Callithrix jacchus: one gene and its partners. The protein of the gene in region 1 purifies or fractionates together with the protein of each later gene. This does not show direct contact. Links are inferred from orthologs where the notes say so. Each region holds a gene or a part of one and is shown in the gene's direction. Other genes may lie near its edges.

Evidence for each region.
Region 2: the proteins of ATXN2 (region 1) and LSM12 purify together in Homo sapiens (affinity purification with mass spectrometry; 4 studies listed by BioGRID and IntAct, with this or other methods). This does not show direct contact. The link is inferred for Callithrix jacchus from reciprocal best matches to the Homo sapiens genes ATXN2 and LSM12.
Region 3: the proteins of ATXN2 (region 1) and PABPC4 purify together in Homo sapiens (affinity purification with mass spectrometry; 4 studies listed by BioGRID and IntAct, with this or other methods). This does not show direct contact. The link is inferred for Callithrix jacchus from reciprocal best matches to the Homo sapiens genes ATXN2 and PABPC4.

What each region holds. Positions count from the first base shown.
Region 1 is NC_133510.1:114,459,002-114,467,028, reverse strand, and holds the start of ATXN2 (ataxin-2), read left to right. Parts: upstream 1-3,696; 5' UTR 3,697-3,952; coding exon 3,953-4,182; intron 4,183-8,027. UniProt on the Homo sapiens protein: Involved in EGFR trafficking, acting as negative regulator of endocytic EGFR internalization at the plasma membrane.
Region 2 is NC_133506.1:70,909,383-70,917,405, reverse strand, and holds the start of LSM12 (protein LSM12), read left to right. Parts: upstream 1-2,807; 5' UTR 2,808-2,871; coding exon 2,872-2,995; intron 2,996-5,207; coding exon 5,208-5,341; intron 5,342-8,023. UniProt on the Homo sapiens protein: Nicotinic acid adenine dinucleotide phosphate (NAADP) binding protein. Confers NAADP sensitivity to the two pore channel complex (TPCs) by acting as TPC accessory protein necessary for NAADP-evoked Ca(2+) release.
Region 3 is NC_133508.1:76,104,903-76,112,472, reverse strand, and holds part of PABPC4 (polyadenylate-binding protein 4), read left to right. Parts: coding exon of another isoform or gene 1-142; exon of another isoform or gene 143-209; 5' UTR 210-223; coding exon of another isoform or gene 224-318; 5' UTR 319-477; coding exon 478-670; intron 671-3,675; coding exon 3,676-3,869; intron 3,870-4,435; coding exon 4,436-4,551; intron 4,552-5,786; coding exon 5,787-5,926; intron 5,927-6,092; coding exon 6,093-6,187; intron 6,188-6,815; coding exon 6,816-6,953; intron 6,954-7,570. Other genes in the region: uncharacterized protein LOC144577192, read right to left, coding at 1-142, 224-318.

The sequences.
Region 1 (8,027 bases):
GCTACATGTCACAACCTTAGAGAAACCTCAAAAACATTATGACAAATGAAAGAAGGCAGACACAAAAGGCTGCATGCTGTAAGATTCTACTTATATGAAAACTCCAGAAGAGACAAATCCATAGAGAGAAAAAATAGATTAGGGGTTCCCTTGGGCTGAGGATGGGAACCAAACTGCCAATAGGCATGAAGGATCTTCCCGGGTAATGGAAATGTTCTGAAATTAGTGGCAATGGCTGTATAACTGTATCAATTGACTGAGAATCATTACACTACACAAAATAGGATGGCATGGTAGCTCACACCTGTAATCCCAGCACTTTGGGAGGCTGAGGAGGGTGGATCACGAGGTCAGCAGTTCAAGACCAGCCTGACCAACATAGTGAAACCCCATCTCTACTATAAAATACAAAAAAAAAAAAAAAAATAGCTGGGTGTGGTGGCAGGTGCCTGTAGTCTCAGCTTCTCAGGAGGCTGAGGCAGGAGAACTGCTTGAACGTGGGAGGTGGAGGTTGTGGTGAGCCAAGATCACATGACTGCACTCCGGTCTGGGTGACAGAGCAAGAATCTGTGTCAAAAAAAAAAAAAAAAGTACATAAAATAGGTGGATTTCATAGTATGTAAATTATATCTTGATAAAATTGTTAAGTTTTTATTCAATGGTAGGGGGTCAAAACAACCTTTCTCAGCTACATCTGCTTCAAGCCTTCTTTTATTTTTAATTTTTAAAAACTTTTAAAAATTAGCTGGGCATGGTGGCACATGCCTGTAGTCTCAGCTACTTGGGAGGCTGAGGCAGCTGAGGCAGGAGAATCGCTTGAACCAGGGAGGCGGAGGTTGCAGTGAGCCAAGATGGCACCACTGCACACTCCAGCCTGGGCAGCAGAGCAAGACTCTGTCTCAAAAAATAAATTTTTTGGCTGGGCGCGGTGGCTCACGCCTATAATCCCAGCACTTTGGGAGGTCGAAGTGGGTGGATCACAAGGTCAAGAGATCGAGACCATCCTGGTCAACATGGTGAAACCCCGTCTCTACTAAGAAAAATACAAAAATTAGCTGGGCATGGTGATGCATGCCTGTAGTCCTATCTACTCGGGAGGCTGAGGCAGGAGAATTGCTTGAACCCAGGAGGTGGAGGTTGCGGTGAGCCGAGATCGCACCATTGCACTCCAGCCTGGGTAACAAGAGGGAAACTCCATCTCAAAAAAAAAAAATTTTTTTTTTGTATGGGGGGAGGTCTCACTATATTGCCCAGGCTTGTCTCCTCCTACTACTTGGCTCAAAGGATCTGCCCCGCTTGGCTTCCCAAAGTTCTGGGATTACAGGTGTAGGTCACCGTGCCCAGCCTAGGCCTTCTTATTCAACTTCCATTTTTCTTTCCAGTGGCCTGAAAGTTGGTCTTAAGATTGTATTCTGGGACTTGGATTCCTAACAGAGAAAAGAGAATGTATTTCTATTTAGGCCCTTAGGCTGGGGGCGCAGTGGCTCATGCCTGTAATCCCAGCCCTTGGGAGGCTGAGATTGGTAGATCACAAGGTCAGGAGTTCAAGACCGGCCTGGCCAACATGGTGAAACCCCATTTCTACTAAAAACACAAAAATTAGCAGAGTGTATTGGCATACGCCTGTAATTCCAGCTACTCCTGAGGCTGAGGTAGAACAATCGCTTGCACCTTGGAGGCGAAGGTTGCAGTGAGCTGAAATTGTGCCACTGAACTCTAGATTAGGTGACAGAGCAAGACTCTATCTCAAAAAAAAAAAAATCCTATTTTTTTTTTTTGTTTTGTTTCCTCAACTGGGTTTTTAGTACCAATTTCCTTAGGTTAATTTTTATTGGCCGGGCGCAGTGGCTTAAGCCTGTAATCCCAGCACTTTGGGAGCCCGAGGCGGGTGGATCACGAGAGATCGAGACCATCCTGGTCAACACGGTGAAACCCCATCTCTACTAAAAATACAAAAAATTAGCTGGGCATGGTGGCGCGTGCCTGTAATCCCAGCTACTCAGGAGGCTGAGGCAGGAGAATTGCCTGAACCCAGGAGGCGGAGGTTGCGGTGAGCCGAGATTGCGCCATTGCATTCCAGCCTGGGTAACAAGAGCGAAACTCCGTCTCAAAAAAAAAAAAAAAAAATATATATATATATATATATATATATTATTTGAGATGGCATCTCCATCTGTCGCCCAGGCTGGAATGCAGCGGCACAATCTCGGCTCACCGTAACCTCTACCTCCCGGGTTCAAGCGATTCTCCCGCTTCAATCTCCGAAGTAGCTAAGATTACAGGCACCCACTACCCCCGGCTAATTTTTGTATTTTTAATAGAGATGGGTTTTCACCATGTTGGCCAGGCTAGGTTAATTGTTAAAGAGTTTTGCGACAGTCTCTCTTTAGATGGGAAATAAAACTGATTTCCTACATTGGTAGAATACAATGATCATTTTTGCCTGGACTATCTAGGAGTTTAATTTCATTTGGGCTACTGAAAACTGCTGGTTTAATCATTCTCCATGTTTTTCTAGGTCTTTATCTGGACAATTCTAGGACATTGAAGGGGAATTTTGGTGTTTCTTCCTCTATTAATTTCCTGAAGTCATTTCACTCAAAAACACTAGATTGGCTGCTCAAGATAAAAAAAGTTATCTACTTGCTTCCAGTTTACTTGCAACACATTTTATAAAGGGTCTACTCTGCTGGCTGGCTAAGTTAAATTAAAACTTATAAAGGGTACAAGGTCTAAAGTTCGCACGTTCTTGTGAGGTCTGCTTATTCTCAGCTCTACCAGTCTCAGTCCCGTATATTTCCTTCAGAATCTCGTGAATGAGGAAAAAGTTCAGATGAAGGTCAGATACCTAGAAGAGTTTTCGAGGCTGGGATGAAAAAAGTGGGGAAAAGGTACCCAGATGTGGGTGGCCCCGGAGGGTTTCTCCACTCCAGCCTCAGCAGGACAGCATAGCGCGGCCTGCCTGGAAGGTTCCCAGAGGCACTGGAGAGCCTAGTGTGTGCCCGGCAGGAAAACGGCGGGATGGTGTGCCCCCTGAATCTGGCAGGGTTGTAGGTGCTTTACACGTAGAAAGATAAATTCTCCACTCCAAAGAACTCGCAGTTCATTTTCTGGGTTGCATCAGGTGGGGGCAAACGAGGTCCCTGCAGGAGTGTGAGGACGTTGAAGGAATACACTGGGGGAAAAAATGCTTCCCTGCCGTTCTCCACACCAGGCAGGCCCCAGAGGCTAAGACCGACACGCCCTCCCCGAAGGGCAGACCCGCCTCGAGAGGGCGGACCTGGGAAGGGCCTGCCGCCTGGCCCTCACCCGACCCCCGCTAACGCGGACCAGCGGTGCGCCCGCTCTTCACGTGTCCCTCCCGGTCCCGGGTCCGCCTAACGATTTGCTTCCGCCCGACTCCTCCGACTTCCGGTAAAGAGTCCCAATCCGGCATCCCCGTGCCCACCCGGCGCCTCGGCGCACTCAGCCTCCGATGCGCTCAGCGGCCGCACCTCCTCAGAGTTCCGCGGCAGCCACCGAGCCTCGCCGTTTCGCCGCAGCTAGGTGGCCCGGGGGGCGCTCGCTCCCGCGGCCGGCACGGCGAAGCGGGCGGGGCGGCGGTGGCGAGGTACCGGGCCCGTATCCCTCCGCCGCCCCTCCCCCGCCCGGCCCTGGCCCCCCTCCCTCCCCGCAGCGCTCGCCTCTCTCCGCCTCAGACTGTTTTGGTAGCAACGGCAACGGCGGCGCATCCCGGTCCGGCTTCCGGCGGTTCCTCGGTCTCGGCGGGCCTCCCCGCCCCTTCTTCGTCCTCCTTTTCCCCCTCGTCAGCCCGGGCGCCCCCCCGGCCGCGCCAACCCGCGCCTCCCCGCTCGGCACTCTCGCGTCCCCGCTGCGCTCCGGCGACTCCTCGGCGCGCCCGGCTCCCGACTGTCCCCGCCCGGCGTGCGAGCCGGTGTATGGGCCCCTCACCATGTCGCTGAAGCCCCAGCAGCAGCAGCAACAGCAGCAGCAGCAGCAGCAGCAGCAGCCGCAGCCGCCTGCGGCCGCCAATGTCCGCAAGCCCGGCGGCAGCGGCCTTCTCGCGTCGCCCGCCGTCGTGCCTTCGCCGTCCTCGTCCTCTGTCTCCTCGTCCTCGGCCACGGCTCCCTCTTCCTCGGCGGCCGTGGCGACCGCTGGCAGCGGGAGGCCCGGCCTGGGCAGGTGGGTGTCGGCACCCCAGCCCCCTCTGCTCTGGGCCCGGTGTCCCTTCCCCCGCGGCTCGCGCGGCGGTCCCCGCCCCATGACCGGCAGGGCTGCCCGAGGTGGGCTGGGGGCTGGCGGCGTGTGGGGGACTCGCCCGGGCCAGAGTCCCGAGGCTCGGCTGGGGGGCGCCGCGGGGGTCTTCTGGGATTGTCAGGCCTGTCCAGCCTCCCGCAGCATCCCCGCCCCCTCCCCCAGCGGTCAAGATGGAGGGAGCCAGCGGCCTCCCCTCCCCACGCGTGTTGGGAGGAGTTCTCGGGTCGCGGCTGTGGTCACCCCTGGCTCCCCCTTTCGCACGCCCCCTCCTCCCGCAGCAGGGGTATGCTTGGGCAGCGTCCCACCCCCAGTTTAGGTGTGAACGTTGGAGGGGTCTGGAGGCTTTGGTGTCGTTTTCCGGAACATGTCGTTCCCCCATCGTGGGGGACATCTCAGAAGGGGAGAAGTTAGGGCCGCGTCCCCCGTGCGCGTTAAAGGGGTAGGCACTGGGCTCCTCCGGAATCATCAGGGTCTATCGGGGCTCCTCTCCCCGCCCCCTCCCAGTCCTGGGAAAGATCGGAAGACTGGGTGGAGACAGGTGGGCCTTGGCCCCCGCACCCCTCCCCGTTTGATTCCGAGGCTGCGGCGGGGGCTCCCGAACTCCCGTGGAATCTTGGGGCTCCGTGCAGCCTCCTGCAGCGTTCCGCCTTACCCCTCCTAAGGAAGGGAAGGGGTGGGGAGTGCCCGGCCTCCATTCTTCCCCCGCCTGGCCTGTCCGGCGCGCGGGTGGTGGCCGATCCGCATTGCTGTTCCGAGGCTGCGGTGGAGAAGGCGCCTGTGAACAGTGGTGGGCGAGGGCCGGACCCAGGCTGGATCCGGGAGATCCGGGGCGGCGGTGCTGGTGGCAGGGAGCGGGTGCCCTGCGCACTTTTCCCAATCCCCGCCCCAATTTCGGAAATGCTAGGAGAGAGAGATTGCAGAAGGGGACGTGGTGTGGTTTCTGAACGCAGAAATGTTTATTGGTGTCTTTTTCCCACCTAAGCCGGGGTTGTGATAGAGACGGGGCGAGGGATCAGTGTTGTCCTGGCTAACTGGTTTTGACTCTGGAGAGTGTGTTCGTGCAGGAGGTCCTATTGAGGGTGGCGGGGGGTGGTGATTGTCAGTTCGTATTTCACGAACTAAGAAAATGCTTAGTGTTCAAACGGAGAAGCAAATGTCAATAGACTCCATTCCATTGTGGCCGGTGTCCTTAACTTCGGGAGTGCCGCCAGAGCTTACCAAGGGCACGCAAGTCCATTTCCCCTGTGCCCCAAGTCTATCCGTGTTGCAGGCGCTACTGTGCCTCCCTTAGGCCTAGGCCGCCGGCTTGGCAGGGCCAATGACTGGCGTCCTCCTTAGACATCTTGGGTTTTGGAAGGTGGGATAAGAGGATTTTTCACGCACCTGAGTTTTCTTTTTGAACACACATTTTCAGCAATCCATTTCTAAATAATTTTTATTTACAGCTTAAGTTCCCCATCAAGAGGTATCAGCTGGTTTTTAAGGAATTCTCTTGCCTTCAATGGGGCCAGGGGCTGAAATAGTCTTCGGTTATTTGACTTACAAGCCTCGTCCCGTCCCCGCCCCGCCCCCCCCCCCAACTTCTCTGAGTCTGAAGCATCCCAGCCACTACTTAGCCAAACTAGTTCAGGTGAAGTGATCATTTCCCCTCATAGAGTAACTTCACTTTCCCTTTTTTGTTGGCATCTAGTGAGGAATGAAAAAATTTTAAGTACAATTTTTATAGAAAATGATGCATTGTTTTTATTTTCTTAGGTATTAGAAGGAGATTTGGCAGATATTTTCAACTTGTTCAAATACATACAAATTAAAACTAAGGATTTTAAATTGCATTGACTCTTAGGCTTAAAAATTAGATTATAGCAGAATTTGCTTCAGAATAGCTTGAGTGATGAGAGATACTTGGAATGTTTTAGTTCCACAAGGCCTTTTTCTGTTCCTTGAGGCTTTACAACAATTTAAGATTAATTTAGATTTTTTTCCTTGCTTTACATTCTTTTACTCGAGACCTAAATGGTAGCCTTTATTCTTTTTGATGAATAGGTGAAATTTTATTTACTGTGTTGGATTTGTATAATGTGAAATTTATTCTTGTGCAGATTGTTAATGTACTTGTAGAATTACTTTGAATTTTGAATCACTTTACTGCTTTCCTTGTAAATAAGTTTCAACTTCTGGAATCGCCTCACTTTGGTTTGTGTATCAGCAATGAAAATAAGTTTCTGAGAGCAAGGGTGAAATAAGAAAATGCAGCGTTGGGTTTGACAAGTTTTGAGATAGCAAAATATTCTTGAAAGTCTGGAAATACATCTGCTTTAAGAAACATATTTTGACTTCTGTTTTTTTTTTTTTTGTATGTGTGTGTGAATAGCTTTTCATGACTTTCAGAAGGGATTTATTCTGTCTTTAATTGTTGTACACATTTTTGAAGGTGACTGTTTTGGGGAAGACAATGTAGTCACAATATTAGAACATATTTTTACTTGGATCTAATTCTTTTTTTTTTTTTGAGACGGAGTCTTACTCTGTCACCCAGGCTGAAGTACAGGCCTGATCTCAGCTCACTGCAGTCTCTGCCTCCTGGGTTCAAGAGATACTCCTGTCTCAGCCTCCCAAGTACCTGGGATTACAGGTGCCTGCTACCACATCCAGCCAATTTTTTTGTATTTTTAGTGAGGATGGGGTTTTGCCATGTTGGCCTGACTAGTCTCCAACTCCTGACTTCAAGTGATCCGCCTGCCTTGACCTCCCAAAGTGCTGGGATTACAGGCATGAGCTTTGGCCCTTGGCCAATTTTTGTATTTTTAGTAGGGACGGGGTTGCACCATGTTAGCCAGGCTGGCCAGGCCTCAAGTGGTCCCCCAGCCTCAGCCTCCCAAAGTGCCAGGATTATAGGTGTGAGCCACTGTGTCCGACCATCAGTCTAATTCTTACTTTTGCTTTTTAACCTTTTCATTGTTATATAGTAGTAGTAGTAATAGTAGTAGTAGTATGTATGTTATTTTGTAGTTAGCCTTTTTCCCTGAACGTTATATTATACTTTTTTTTTTTTTTTTGAGTCAGAGTCTCACTCTGTTGCCCAGTCTGGAGTACAGTGGTATGATCTCAGCTCATTACAACCTCTGTCTCCCCGGTTCAAGGGATTCTCCCCATCAGCCTCCTGAGTAGCTGGGATTACAGGAATGTGCCACCACACCTAGCTAATTTTTGTATTTTTAGTAGAGACAGGGTTTCACCATGTTGGCCAGGCTGGTCTCGAACTCCTGACCTCAGATGATCCACCTGCCTGGGCCTTCCAAAGTGCTGGGATTATAAGCATGAACCACTTGGCCTGGCCAGTATTAAAAAAAAATTTAGGGTTTTTACCTAACCATTCTATTGTTGTGATTTGGGTTTACACTTTTTTGTTATTATAGATAGTGATGCAATGAACTTTTTTTTTTTTTTTTTTGAGTTGCGATCTCACTCTGACTTCAGGCTGGAGTGCAGTGGCACGATCTTGGCTCAGTGCAGTCTCCACCTCCCAGGTTCAAGTGATTCTTCCGCCTCAGCCTCCCGAGTAGGGAGGACTACAGGCGCACGCCCCCACGCCCAGCTAATTTTTGTATTTTTAGAAGAGATGGAGTTTCACCGTGTTGGCCAGGATGGTCTCCATCTCTTGACCTTGTGATTCGTGGGCCAGGCGTGAGCTACCAAGCCTGGCCAACATTTTTATACTAATAGGATTTTGCTTCAGTGTAATTATTTCCTTAGAGAAAGCTCCCAAGAAT
Region 2 (8,023 bases), on another chromosome or scaffold:
TATACATTCCTTGAGTTCGCCAAGTTCTCTCCTCCTAGGGGTCCTGACCCATGCAGTTCCCTCTGCCTGGAACATGGCCACCCTTTTTCCTTGCTAATTCTTCAGGTCTCAGCAGAGATTTTTCACTTCCTAGTGGCGTCTATAAGTCATATATGAAAACCTGTAATCACGATTTTTTTTATCATGTCAGAGGAGATTTCAGTGCTATATAATCACGATTTCATAAAAAAAGTGGACAATGATTGTGCTATATAATCACAATTTCATACAAAAACTGGAATGGTGATTATGTATGATTTGTTATGGAGGCCAGAACAAGAATGAGAGGCATGAAAGTTTTCCGAGGCTGGCCACAATGGCTCATGCCTGTATTCCTAGCACTTGACAGGCCGGCTGAGGCGGGAGATTGCTTGAGCCCAGGAATTCAAGACCAACCTGGCCAACAGGGTGAAACCCCATCTCTACTAAAAGTACAAAAATTAGCCAGGCATGGTGGCTCACGCCTGTAATCTCAGCTACTCAGGAGGCTGAGGCAGGAGAATCACTTGAACCTGGGAGGTACAGGTTGCAGTGATCCAAGATGGTGCCACTGCAGTCCAGCCTGGGTAAGAGGGTGAGACACTGTCTCAAAAAAAAAAAAAAAAAAAAAAAAAAAGTTTTCTGAAAAAGCACAATATAAAGGAGTAGAATTTTTTTTTTTTAAGGCGGGGTTTCACCATGTTGGTCCGGCTGGTCTTGAACTCCCGACCTCAGGTGATCCACCCGACTTGGCCTCCAAAATGCTTGGATTACAGGCGTGAGCCACTACGCCCCGCCCAGAGTAGAATTTTTATTCCTGTTACAATAATTGTACCCATACCTCCAATACCAGGAAGTTTATGTTTCTTGGAGGGCAAGGAAATACTTTTGAACTTTATTCAGGTTAAGCTGCGCCAAGACTGGTCCTTTGCCTCCCTCTGGACTAGAAAAAGGTCAACCTGTTTCTCATACAGGAAGCAAGGCTCCAAAATTTCTACAGTGAGGGGTGGGTGGGTTACCAATTACCTACAGCAATTGGCCGTAGCAGGGCTTGAAAATGCATTGGCATAGTCCTTTACATAGATTAAGAAAATGACTGTTTTTTTTTTTTTTTTTTAAGACCAGGTTTTGCTCTTGTTATCCAGGCTGGAGTGCAATGGCGTAATCTTGGCTCACCGCAACCTCCGCCTCCTGGGTTCAGGCAATTTTCCTGCCTCAGCTTCCTGAGTAGCTGGGATTACAGGCACGCCTTACCGCGCTCAGCTAATTTTTTGTATTTTTAGTAGAGACGGGATTTCCCCATGTTGACCAGGATGGTCTCCATCTCTTGACCTCGTGACCCACCCGCCTAGGCCTCCCAAAATGCTGGGATTACCAGCGTGAGCCACCGTGCCCGTCCGTTTTTTTTTTTTTTTTTTTAAAGACAGGGTTTCACTATGTTGGTCAGGCTGGTCTTGAATTCCTGACCTCAGGTGATCCGCCCGCCTTGGCCTCCAAAGTGCTTGAATTACAGGCGTGAGCCACTACGCCCGGCCGAAAATGACTGTTTTGTGTATCAGATGGACATTAAAGGGCAGGGGTGCAAAACCCCTCCTCCAAGCCCCTTTTTGTCACTGTTTGCTCCTCCTCATTCCTGCCTTTTGCCTGGCTTTCTGGGAGAGATGGCAAAAAGGGAGAAGGGGAAGTGTCTTGATTTCATAGAATGATGGATGACAAAGGGAGAACTACTATTTATTAAAGAGCTAGTATATGCCATGCACATATACATGTTATCACATTTAAACCTTCTAACTTTGAGGTAGGTATTATTATCCAATATAGTATAGCAGTAAATAGCACCATCCTTGGAAATAGGCAGACTGTTTTTGCTAGTTGTGCAAGCGTGGACAAGTTTAGTCTAAAACTTAGTTTCTGTAAAAGGAGGACATTGATTCCTACCTCAAAGGGCTGTTACATAGGTGCTCAAGAAGTGACAATATAAATGCCTATGAAGAAACAGGATCAGGTAATTTGCTTGCTCAAGGTCATGTAATTTAGTAAGCTGACCTGAAATTCTGATTCCGGCTTATCTAACTCCACAGCCAATGTTCTTTCCACTCACTCTGTAGTTATAATCTTTTTTTTTTTTTTTTTGAGACGGAGACTCGCTCTGTTTCCTAGGCTGGAGTGGCAGAGGAACTATCTTGGCTCACTGCAACCTCCACCTCCCAGGTTCAAGCAATCTGCCTGCCTCAGTACTCCGCGTAGCTGGGATTACAGGCACGCGCCACCACGCCTAGCTAATTTTTGTATTTTTAGTAGAGACGGGCTTTTGCCATGTTGGCCAGTCTGGTCTTGAACTCCTGACCGCTGATGATCTACACCTCCCCTTGGCCTCCCAAAGTGCTGGGATTACAGGCGTGAGCCACCGCGCCCGGCCGTTATAATCATGTTGACCAAGTTTCGTTAAGTCCTCTGAGGCTCTGATTCCTCATATGCAAAATGGGGATAATATAAATTATTTAATAAAATTCATTCATTGAACTCTTGTGTTCAAGGAGTGCATATAATGGAGACTGCAGTTCCTTCCTCTTTCCCCTTTTCATTCCATGTAGGTCATTTATCCTTAACTTCTAAAATAGACTCTACAGGCACTTAACCGAGCGGACGCAGCTATACAAATATTATTTTTCAGATTCCCCTTTATTTCCTCTTCTTTCCTAGTGCACCTAGGCTCCCGCCCCACCCAGCACCAGGCCACGCCCCGGCGTGTGACGGAAGCACGTTCCGTGCGTTGCGTCGCGTCGCTTACTGGGGGCCCGGCTTTCGCCCGCTGCTGCCGCCGCCGCCGCCGGCCGCGGCTGCACTCGCAAGATGGCGGCTCCTCCGGGCGAGTACTTCAGCGTTGGGAGCCAGGTGTCGTGCCGGACATGCCAGGAGCAGCGGCTGCAGGGCGAGGTGGTAGCCTTCGACTACCAGTCCAAAATGCTGGCTTTAAGTATCCTTCCCTGCGTGGAGCCCGAGGCCGGGCCGGCGTGTAGGTGCGGTGGTCGGCGGGTGGGGGACGACGGCGGCGGCCGGGGCTCTCTCCCGGCCTAGGGGCGACCGGCTACCGCGGCGCCCGGGGCGCATGCGCACGGCCTTGAGCTCCCCTCCCCCTCCCGCGGGCCCTTCGGTCAGCTTTGGGGACCCTGTCTCTCACCCCTTGCGGGAGCTGGGGCCTGACCAACGATCAGGGAGTGGAGGAGAGCATGACACGGGGATGGCTTTTAGCGGGGAACGTTATTAGGGGGGACACGGTGATTAGGAGTGGGTTGTAGTGGGAGGGGGCTGGTGGATTGGAGCCCGGATGGAAAGGAGGGGCGGGTAAAATGTTATGGGGAGGGGTGTGTAGGGTAAGGAACTGCTGGTAGGGCAAAGGTATGGAATTTAGGAGGGCATGTCCACTGATGGGATTTTGTCCAAGAAAGGCAGTGGGATGGTGACCAAATGGTCCTTGCCTGTTTTGGGGGAGAGTAAGCGCAGGGCAGAGTTTGTATCTGAACTGAGGATCGTGGTTTGTTTCGCTGATGAGTGGGTGTAGGGGGGGCTGTGCTGATTTTTAGGCTTCTCGGTCATTTGGAAATTGCTGTTAAGGGGATGTTTGCATTGGAAACCTGGTCCAGAGAGGGCTTGCCACGTTTTTCAGGGGCTTATGTGGGTTGGGGATGTGCGAATTACAGGTAAAAGAGTGAAGTTCTCATGCTCCCTTGCTCAGTCCAGCACATGGAGTCCTTACTTTTACGTAGTAGTAGCCTCCCTTTTGAAAGTAGCAATGTTAAACTGATTGGAAAGGGTGGCCTGCTTCTTTGGGGTGGAAATGATTTCTGAATTATTGCAGGAAACTCAGTTTTGGAAACGAAACACTTCCTTGTTGGAATAAATGTGCCACGGCTTCCCCTTTTATGTGAGCTACAGGTGGGTTTATTGCAATTTTTTTTTTTTTTTGAGGAGTAATTCATTATGGCTTTTTTTTTTTTTTTTTTTGAGACGGAGTCTTGCTCTGTCACCAGGTTGGAGTGCAGTGGTGCCATCGAGGCCCACTGCAACCTCCGACTCCCTGGTTCAAGAGATTCTCCTGCCTCAGCCTCCTGAGTAGCTGGGATTACTGGCACGAACCACCATGCCCAGCTAATTTTTGTATTTTTTCTTTTCAGTAGAGACGGAGTTTCACCATGTTGGCCAGGATGGTCTCTATCTCCTGACCTCGTGATCCGCCTGCCTCGGCCTCCCAAAGTGCTGGGATTACAGGTGTGAACCACCGCTCCCGACCCTTTGTGTGTGTGTGTGTGGGGGGGTGGGGCTGGACAAAGTTTTGCTCTTGTTGCTCAGGCTGGAGTGCAATGGCGCCATCTTGGCTCACCGCAACTTCTGCCTCCCGGGTTCAAGCGATTCTCTTGCCTCAGCCTCCTGAGTAGCTGGGATGACAGCCGTGAGCCACTGCGCCCTGCCATTGCATCTTTCAAAATGAAGTTTCCTACTGAGTCTGCTGCCTTTGAGTGGCAAGTATTTTAATTCATTTAACCATTGCTTGTAGATTTCTAGCTTGGGAAGATGTCCTTTGAAACTAATTACAGCAAGAATAGTTGCTTTTTTAAAAAATAAGAGGTTACACCTGGAACAAATAAGACCTTTTACATTAGTAGTTTAGTTGGAAGAGTCTTGGAACTAGGAATTACTCAGTTTTTAACTGACATGCAGTGGGCGCTTAAATGGTTAGGGAATGAGTGTGTGAATGAATGGATGGGATTAACTGGCTGGGTCACCTTAGGGGAATTTCCTTTCCAGTGCTGTAGATTTCTCCTCTGCAAAATGGGAACGCTCACATCTGAAAAAGTAAAAATACTGTGCAGATATAGAGAGTGTTATACGAAGAACAGAAATCTCTAGCTCTTTTGTCTGGTTCCTAGGTTCAAAACAAACGCATTAAATCTGCTCCATAAAACCAGTAGACAGAAGATGACAGAATTCCTTAGGAGGCTTCCAAGGGTTTGGGCAGGAGGAAGGTGACAGGCAGGGATTTCCTGAGGAGAGCTGTGATTCTTATAAGGCCCTCTTGCTTCTGGCATGCCTTTTAAAGCCTTGTGTGAATTGTGTTTTCTGTATCCCTTTTGGGATGTGTCAGTGCCTCTGCTTGTCCTATTTTTCCTTAACTTGTTTTTTCTTACCAGAATGTCCCTCTTCCAGTGGAAAGCCCAACCATGCAGATATCTTGCTTATAAACTTACAGTATGTTTCAGAAGTGGAAATAATTAATGACCGAACAGAAACCCCTCCTCCCCTAGCTTCACTCAATGTTAGTAAGGTAAGGACTCAAGGGCAAATCTGGCTCTCTAAAATCATGGGAAAGATGAGTCTCATTGATTCTTGGTGATACATTGTTGTCTATTTTTCATTTTTTTAATTGACTTAAAATTGCTTCCTCTGATATCTTTTTAAGAAATACATGTTTAGTTTTTCTCTTTATTCATGGATATTGTCAGTAGATCTTAAAAAATAAGCTTAACTCAAAAAAAAAAAAAGAAATAAGCTTAACTTTCAAAGAAGTTGAGAACTTGTTTTTGCCTTTATAAAAGAGGACTTTTTTTTTTTAACTTGAAGTTTTAATCTTGGAGTACGTGATGAAATTCTGGTGATGGTGGGGTTTGGGTGGTGGCGTTGCCTATGAACGTCCTCAAATTGTGTGTATGTGGATGTGTGCATACGTGAATATATGCGTTTTCTGTATGAAGATCCGAAATGTTTTTTAGATTCTCAGAGGGATTCATGACCTATAAAAGTTTGAAAGCCACTGTTTTAAAGGTTCTTTTTTCTCTTTATGTTTGAATTTTGAGTTCTAACAATTACATGCTTAGCATATTTTTTTTTTTTTTTTTTTGAGACGGAGTTTCGCTCTTGTTACCCAGGCTGGAGTGTAATGGCGCGATCTCGGCTCACTGCAACCTCCGCCTCCTGGGTTCAGGCAATTCTCCTGCCTCAGCCTCCCGAGTAGCTGGGATTACAGGCACACGCCACCATGCCCAGCTAATTTTTTGTATTTTTAATAGAGACAGGGTTTCACCATGTTGACCAGGATGGTCTCGATCTCTTGACCTCGTGATCTACCCGCCTCGGCCTCCCAAAGTGCTGGGATTACAAGCTTGAGCTACTGCGCCCGGCCTTTCATATTTTAATCTTGCACATACAAATTGATCTCTGGGAATCCCCAAGTCACTTTTGTGTATGTGTGAACAGGGCCTTGCTTTGTAGTCCAGGTTGAACTTGAATGCCTGGGCTCAAGTGATCCTCTTGCCTCAGCCTTCTGAGTAGCTGGGATTACAGGCGTGCACCACCATACCTGCCCAAGTTTTTTTTTTTTTTAGATAGAGTCTTGCTCTTGTTGCTCAGGTTGGAGTGCAGTGGCATAGTCTCAGCTCACCACAACCTCCATCTCCCGGATTCAAGCGACTCTCCTGCCTCAGCCTTCCAAGTAGCTGGGATTACAGGCATGAGCCACCACACCTGGCTACTGTTGTATTTTTAGTAGAGATGGGGTTTCTCCATGTTGGTCAGACTGTTCTTGAACTCCCTACCTCAGGCGATCCGCCCACCTCAGTGTCCCAAAGTGCTGAGATTACAGGTGTGAGCCACTGTGCCCAGCCTTTATTTATTTTTGAGAGAGTCTGTCTCTGTTGCCCAGGTCGTAGTGCAGTGGTGGGATCTCAGCTCATTGCAGGCTCCACCTCCTGGATTCAAGTGATTCTCATGCCTCAGCCTCTGGAGTAGCTGGAACTACAGGTGTGCGCCACCACACCTGGCCAATTTTTTTTTGAGATGGAGTTTCACTCTTGTTGTACAGGCTGGAGTGCAGTGGCACAGTCTTGGCTCACTGCAATCTCCACCTCCCGGGTTCAAGTGGTTCTCCTGCCTCAGGCCTCTCAAGTAGCTGGGACTACAGGCGTATGCAACCACACCTGGCTAATTTTTTTGCATTTTAGTAGAAACCGGGTTTCACTTTGTTGCCCAGGCTGGTCTTGAACTCCTGAGCTCAAGCAGTCTGCCTGCCTTGGCCTCCCAAAGTGCTAGGATTATAGGTGTGAGCCACTGTGCCTGGCACAATTTTTGTATTATTGGTAGAGACCAGGTTTCACCATGCTGGCCAGCCTGGTCTCAAACTCCTGACCTCAAGTGATCTGTCCACCTCGGCCTCTCAAAGTGCTGGTATTACAGATGTGAACTATTATGCCAGGCCCCAACTCATTTTTTTTTTGACAATTCAGTTTATTTGGTCAAAATTGATGTTGAACAGTAATAACGCCCAAGTTCTGTCATAGCCTGTGCTGTCCCTCGTACTTGGAACGTTTTTCCTTCCAAAATGACTGGAACGAAAAAGCCTTACCCATCAGGACTTTGTTAAATGGCACGTCTTCCAAGAAATCTTCTCTGATCACCTAAAGTAATGAGGTTAAAGTAATCTGCCAGCATTATTCTCTCTCATAGTACCTTGTCCTTCACAGTTAAGGTGACCATAATTTTTAGTCCAACCTGGGACATTTTCGAGAGTAAAGGAGAATGCTTTTATTTTATACTGGGATGACAGGTATAGATTAATGTGTCCTGGGCAAATTGGGACCTAAGGTTACCCTATTCATAGCTTTTTTGGTAATTATATATCTGTTTACATTAGTCTGTCTCACTAAACTTTATTCTGCAAGAATGGGAACCACTCCTGTTTTGTTTGCTATTGAATATACATAGCCTTGCACAGAGTTTTTAGTAAATATTTGTTGGATGAATAAGTTATGCCTCCGATTTTAGTAGCAGGTGCCTTTCATGAAGTCTCTTGAATTAGGGTGGTGGAAGTTTTTCCCTCTAGAGGAGTCTTGTAATAATGTATATTACTTTGCCTTTCTTGGGAATGTGGTGTATTCTCTATGGTTCAGCAAAGCAAGGAAACACTTAGGCAAATGAAATAATATAGGGTAACTGAGGCTAGTGAATATTGTTA
Region 3 (7,570 bases), on another chromosome or scaffold:
GGAGTCGGCGCCCACAAAGATTTGGTTTCCCCGTGCCCCGGCGGTTGTAATCTTAAACCGCCGGAGCCCGAGGCCTATATTTATAGAGAAACGCGTGTCCCCGAGGCCGCCGTGGGCAGCGTCCGGTCGCCTCTTAAAGGATCTTTACCCTTCGGAAGGGGATTCCCCATTTAATTTTTTTTCCTACTTTGATTTTTTGAAATTTGGAGCTTCGCATCAGGACCGCGGAGAAGTGCAAAGTCGCGGGGAGAGCTGTATTGTGCGGAGAGCCTTTTGTCTGCGGTGCCGCGGCCGTGGGAGCCGACCCCCGCCTCCCATTTTCGTCCAGTCTCCGAGCCCGGCGACTCCAGCTCATCCTTGCCGGTGCCACCTGTGAGCCGCGGCGCGGGCCCCGGCTCCGAGGGCTCCCCTTTTGTCCTGCGGCGGGCCCGATAAGAAGTCCTCCTGGCGGGGCTCGGGGTGGTGGGGGGCGGGGAGATGAACGCTGCGGCTAGCAGCTACCCCATGGCCTCCCTGTACGTGGGCGACCTGCACTCGGACGTCACCGAGGCCATGCTGTACGAAAAGTTCAGCCCCGCGGGGCCTGTGCTGTCCATCCGGGTCTGCCGCGATATGATCACCCGCCGCTCCTTGGGCTATGCCTACGTCAACTTCCAGCAGCCGGCCGATGGTGAGTAGAAACTGTGCCCACACGTGTGTGGGAGCCCGGCGGACCCCGGGAGTCGCCTTCCGGCAGGGCCCTCCTGCCGAGGAGGGCGGCCTCAGAACAGCACGTTGCCACCGAAGGTGGGAGCCGGGTGCAGAGGTTGAGAGCACGGACCTGGCATCAGATGACTCGAGTTTCAATCTTTATATCACTTCCTAACTGGGTGACCTTGGGCTACTCGCTGGTGTTGCTGGTGGTGGGGTTGGAACTCAAGGAGACTGTAAAACAGGAGTAGAGGAAAGTCACTGGCATTCCACTGTGTGTGGTCCTTGTCAGTGAGGCTGGGCTGTTAGAGACCCTTGCTTGTGCCCTCTCACAGGCCTGCCAAAAAGGCGGGACGTGTAAAACACAGCTCCCCTCAAAAGTTTTTACATTGCAAAGATTCTGCCCACTCCCCTACCTTTACTAACCTTGACCACCTGATGTGCTGATAAGGGATAGGTCAGGGCAGGCAGGAAGCAGGGGGAAGGATTCTGTGCGTTAAACTCTAGCAAAGACTTGGGTTAGTGTCACAGGAGCTGCGTGTGCCAGGCCGGTTCCTTGGTCAGTGTGTTTGCCACTGGAGTGGAGGAGTGCTTTGCTCTGGACAGATGGTATCCAGGCTTTGCTGTAGAGAATGGTGTGGAGGTAGTTTGTGGAAGAGTCACTTGAAAATCTGGGCTGGTGGCATTTGTCACCTTAGCTGTAACAGCCCTTTACACTTGTCAGAGCCCTTTTACTTCATCCGATCTGAGGAAAATGGAACTCCTGAGAAGGAAAAGGAAGCCAAGTTGGGACTCCCAGCACAGTGCTCTGCCACCCCAGATTGTGGCCTTAGCAGGAGCATGGAGAGGTATGCTACAGGCGTGGCAGGAGTGAGGCCAGAGGAAACCTGATCAGAGGCTGCACGTGACTCCAGATTAAAAAGGAACAACTGCAGAGATTATGACGGGCCCCAAGTTTTGTCCCCACTTTGTTCACTGTCTGAGGCCCAGAGTTTACTTGCTCAGGTTGCAACTGAGACCAGAGAATTGGACATGTTGAGAGGGACTAGCTGAGTTCTGTCTATGGCCATAGGAGCACAAAGAAGGTAGCTGAGTGTGGTCATTTTGGGGGATAGTATACCTCATTAGCTGTTGTCTGCCTTCTTGACTTCTTAGAGATAGCAGAAGCTATTGGTCAGTGTGTCTGCCAACACATACTTCTGCAGGACCTCTCTCTGCTATAAATAAGTGCAGCCAGATTTGTTAGACTAAGCCGGCTTGCCTTGTGCAGTGCTGTCTGGAAATAGATGAGGAGCTGTGTTGAAATGGGCTCCTTTAATGCTAATTAATGAAATAGTTTGCGATCCCAGCTGTGTATCTCTTCTTAGCCATCAAAAGCAAGCTCCTCTGTACCTGAACTGTTTTGTGACTTTGTTCTGTCTTGTCATCTCCCCTTTCCCCAACTACCCCCATACAGATGAGCCAATCTTCTGAAGTGGGTGGGAAAAGTTGTTGGAAATAATGAGTGAAAATAAATTCTTCTGGCTGATGCAACAGTTGAGCTTGTAGAGCGCCAGAGTTGGGGAATTTTGTCCCCCGATTTAAGTGAGATGCTGCCTTGAGGCAAGGAGCAGGTTGTCCTGCTCTGAGCCTGTCTAAATCCCCTCATGGAGGAGGTTCTGGGTGATGTCATTTTAAGTAGATGCCATAATAGCCTTAAGGAAAAGTGGCCACCAGATCTGGGCATCCTTGTTGCCATTAGGGATGAGAAGTGTTTTGGCTGGCAGGTGGCGATATATTTTAGCTTTTGTTTCTTTTTTTTTTCTTTCTTTTTTGAGATGGAGTTTCACTCTTGTCGCCTAGGCTGGAGTGCAATGGTGTGATCTGGACTCACTGCAACCTCCACCTCCTGGGCTCAAATGATTGTCTTGTTTCGGCCTCCTGAGTAGCTGGGATTACAAGCACCCGCCACCATGCCCAGCTAATTTTGTATTTTTATTAGAGACGGGTTTCCTCCATGTTGTTCAGGATGGTCTTGAACTCGACCTCAGGTGATCTGCCTGCCTCCCAAAGTGCTGGGATTAGAGGCATAAGCCTCCATGCCCGGCCTAGCTTTTGGTTCTTTAAATGTTCTCTGTGGCGCACACGTAGACTTGGTTGGGAAGCTGAGGAAGCATTCCAAGGCACTGCATGGGGAAATAGGTTGGGCACGTGGGGTAGCCAAACTCCTAGAATTCTACAGAACTCCAATTAAGGCTTCAGAAGGCCTGGAAACGAGTAGGTGTGGGGCCTACTACCTGCGCACTGTCTGCTTAGGCAGAAGATATCATGGTTTAATCCTTGTGGTGATAGTGCAGATAACTTTTCCATGTATGACCAGTTGTATCCATTTTGATGATTGATGCTTTTTTGTTTAATTTTTGTTCTCAGAAATTGAAATAAAAGAAACTGGACTGAATTCAGGGATAGCACTTTTTTTCTCCAGATCATTTGCTCCTGGATTGCAGACTAAATGACTTGATAACTTTGATAATCTGGTATTAGTTTCCTAATCACTAGCTAGCTGCAAAGCTTAGTTACCTAAACTTAAGTTTGTTCATTTTGTAAAATGTGTAATTTCAGCTGTCCCACCTGAGTCATGGTGGGTGGTAGTCTGCAAAGTCTCTTCTAAATGGTAAAGCTTGGTCAAATGTGAGGTATTATCATTGGATCTTGGTGTCATTAAGGCCACTTAGATTGTCTTCACTTATGACCCCTTTATCCAACAAGGGCACAGACCCAGAGGGGTGTTCAGACTTCTGTCATGAAGTAGAGTCATTAACTGGAACTTACTCTGCCCTTAGTAACAGTGCAGGCTGGAGGAATCTGATGCCCTTTTATTTTAATAGAGTTGCCTTTTATCAAGGGTGATTACCTTGAAAAGTCCTGGAGTAATCTGTTCTTAGGATGTTGGCCTGTGGGAGCTGCCGTTTTCCATCCCTATTGAAATGTGTTTCTCTCTTACAGCTGAGCGGGCTTTGGACACCATGAACTTTGATGTGATTAAGGGAAAGCCAATCCGCATCATGTGGTCTCAGAGGGATCCCTCTTTGAGAAAATCTGGTGTGGGAAACGTCTTCATCAAGAACCTGGACAAATCTATAGATAACAAGGCACTTTATGATACTTTTTCTGCTTTTGGAAACATTCTATCCTGCAAGGTAAACAGTGATTAAATGATTTTAGCAGAATAATTAATTGAATCTTGAAAACAAGATAAATAACCAAATGGAGAACTACCTGGGAAGTGGGCATCAGGGTATGGGGATTTTCAGAATGCTGGGAATAGACCCCTAAAAGTTCCCATGGATAATCTCAGGGGCACACCCAGCATAACCAGCACGTGCTTTTGTGCACTGTTCTTTCCTCAGCCTGAAATAGCCTTCCTGTTTTTAAGCTTTGGAAAGCCCCAGAAGGTTTTTCTTTTGGGTTGGGGGAAAGGAGCAGATCAGAGAAGTGTCTCTGGTCTTCAGTAAACTTAATCCCTTTAGAAGCATACATTCACTCTCTTCCTTCTACACATCAGTTTTATGCTGAGCACTTTAAAACTTACACAGTGGTGGTGTATGTGTCTAATGCCACACTACACTGAAAATCTGTTGTGGACTTGGAAAATGGTTTGTCTTCTTGCAGCACTGTGTTTTGCGTAAGGTACAAGATACCCTGAGGTTCTCATGTCCCTGGAGCTGGCCAGTGGTGCTAAAGTGGTCCACCTTGTCTTTGACAGGTGGTGTGTGATGAGAACGGCTCGAAGGGTTATGCCTTTGTCCACTTCGAGACCCAAGAGGCTGCCGACAAGGCCATCGAGAAGATGAATGGCATGCTCCTCAATGACCGCAAAGTGTGAGTGTCCCAGTCCGGAGCAACAACCATCGCATGAGCCAGCCGTGGCCCCACCTCGGTATTAACTGGCACACACAAGGCGGCTACTGGTTCTCGGCCCAAGTGTGGCCTGCTCCTACCTCTCCACTCCAGGGCTGGTGAGTCTCCCTGCCTGAGCCGTGGCAGCCCTTTTGACTCGCCAAGGTGGGCTTCCTGCCCAAGCCATGGCCTGCCTGCCGCCTCTCCCTTAAAGGCATCTGTCTGTGGGTTTTGTGAGCATCAGCAACTGGGGCTGGCTGGAAGGCAGCTCTAAGCTCACTCTGAGTGGGGGTCTTGGCCAGCGGCAGAGTGGAGAGGGCCCTGGACTGACCAGGAGCTGTATACTAGCAGTGTGACCTTGGCTTTCCTGTGACTCAGGTCTGTCCATGGGTCCCCCGCTAGTGGTTGATGCCAAATTGTCCCCGTGGTTCTCCATTTTCTAACTTATGAATCAGTGACCTAGTAGAAGGCTGGCTCCACAGTAGTACTTGGTGACAATGAAAAATCCTATCCCTTGGCAGAAAAACTTCATAATAGACCTTGTTGCTTTGTTGTGGTTGTTACTATAGAATGCAGAGAGGGGGAACTTAGCAAAGTCATGTGGGGAGGAGAAGAGACAGTAAGTCTTGGCTGTTAGAAGCAAAAATGATTTTTGTCCTTTGTCTCATTGAACATACCAAAGGGTAGGTTAAATTTATAATGTCTATCCAGTGGTTGATCTACAGATACCACTAAAAAGAAATTAAAAAATGTCAGTGTATGGATAAGTTTTTTTTTTTTTTTTTTAAGTATAACAGTACCAAAATGAATAAATTTAAAAAGCAAAGGGTGCCCCTTCGCTCCAACAATCTCATGCCTAGGATTGACCACTGTTAACAGTTTGGTTTGTATCCTTCCAGACCTTTTCTATGCATTTACATAGTTGCACAGAAATGAGCGTTTTAAAAACATGGTCATCAGGTTTCTTCATGAAGGCAGTGTGATGTGGTAGGAGTAGCCCTGGTCTAAGCCAGGAGCCCTGGGGCTGGTCTTCACAGGATAGTCCTGCCTTTTTCTCTTTCTGCTGGGGACTTGGGGTGTCTCTGAGCCTCCTCGGTGGTGGATGGGGATCTCGTGTTTTAACCTCTCCTCTCAGCCTTTATCCTGTATTCCTTTGGGTCCCTGGAAATCATGTTTTATTCCTTTGGATGATTGCTGTTCTTCATGGTTTCTTTTAGATTTGTGGGCAGATTCAAGTCTCGCAAAGAGCGGGAAGCCGAGCTTGGAGCCAAAGCCAAGGAATTCACCAATGTTTATATCAAAAACTTCGGGGAAGAGGTGGATGATGAGAGTCTGAAAGAGCTATTCATTCAGTTTGGTAAGTTGGGGGTCCTCATCCCCTTTCACAGTTCACCAGACCCATCTGTTCTTAAGAGATGAGGACACTGCTCCAGAGATTTGCTTCCAGTGAGTTTCTAGAGGGAAGCCTTCTCTCTAGCTATGCTAGAAATGGTGTTACTAATAGTTCTGTCCTTTGGTGATAGGTAAGACCCTGAGTGTCAAGGTGATGAGAGATCCCAACGGGAAATCCAAAGGCTTTGGCTTTGTGAGTTACGAAAAACACGAGGATGCCAATAAGGTGAGTGCACCACAAAGGCTGGAAAAGCTTGTAAGAGGTGGCCTCAGAGTACGGGTAGGGTCTTGCTATCATCTAGCTGGAGCAGGGATGGTCTGAGTATCTAGTTGTAGATGTATCATTACTGTACTCTGGGATCATCTTCCTGGGTTCCACATGTTAACGTATCGTGTAGGTGTTTACAAAGCACTTGGCACATACCTGTCACCTCAGCTATCAGTTATGGAAAGAATAGGACAGATGTTTGTTCCCTGCATAGGTGAGAGAACTAAAGCCCAGGGAGTGCTGATTTGATAACAGCACAGCAGCTACTTGCTGGCAAAGCATTGTGCCAGACCCTTAGCATTTATCACTTCAATACCTACATAAGCACCTGCAGAATTTACTGGTAGCCAGAAGATTATCACCCTAGGTTCATGTCACCACAATTGTGTTTATACACCTGTACTATTTCTATATTATCTAGATCAATAACCCATTTAAATATTAACCTCACTTTACAGATGAGGAAGTTTGGATTTGTGTGACAGGTGGAATGAATTTAGTTTTCAGTCCTAAGTTGGGACTTAGACCTTTAGAATAAGGCCCCATCTCTGCAACTTGATTTTAAAGACATATTTTTCCTCTCTAGGCTGTGGAAGAGATGAATGGAAAAGAAATAAGTGGGAAAATCATATTTGTAGGCCGTGCACAAAAGAAAGTAGAACGGCAGGCAGAGTTAAAACGGAAATTTGAGCAGTTGAAACAGGAAAGAATTAGTCGATACCAGGTAAGGTGGTCTTGGCCCAGCCCAGCAATGGGATTTGCCGTGAAATGTTTGCAGAATACCCTTACGATTAGCAGGCTTTGTTTTTTGGGACTTGGAGTCTGTTCTTCCTTCCATTTCCCCCAAGAATATCAGGCTTAAAAGGATATATACCTACCACAATGGGACTGATTATTATAGAACCAGAGACAAGAGAAATGAGGTTATTCATCAAGAAGTTCTCTATTCTGGAAGCCTCAGCCTGTTGCTTTTAGCCATGTAGGTTCCTTTTACTTAAATGAGACTCCTTTGTTTGGCATGGCTTCAAGAAGACCCCTGCTGGGGTGAAGCGGTCACGAGCAGCTGTGGGGAGAAGTGACAAAAGGTGACTGCACTGATGATCCTGTCAATTTCAGGGCAGCAGTTTCACAACTTGGGGCTGGCATCAGAAATCATCAGCAGAGCTCGTTAAAACAGATAGCTGGGCTCTAGCCCCAGAGTTTCCTATTCACGGGGTTTGGGGTCTGGCCTGCGAATTTCATTTCTAACAAGTTCCCACAGATGCTGGTGCTCCTGGTCTGGGGGCCACCCTTTGGGAACCACTTTCTTAGGGAATATTTGTGGTATAGAAGTGCAGTTAA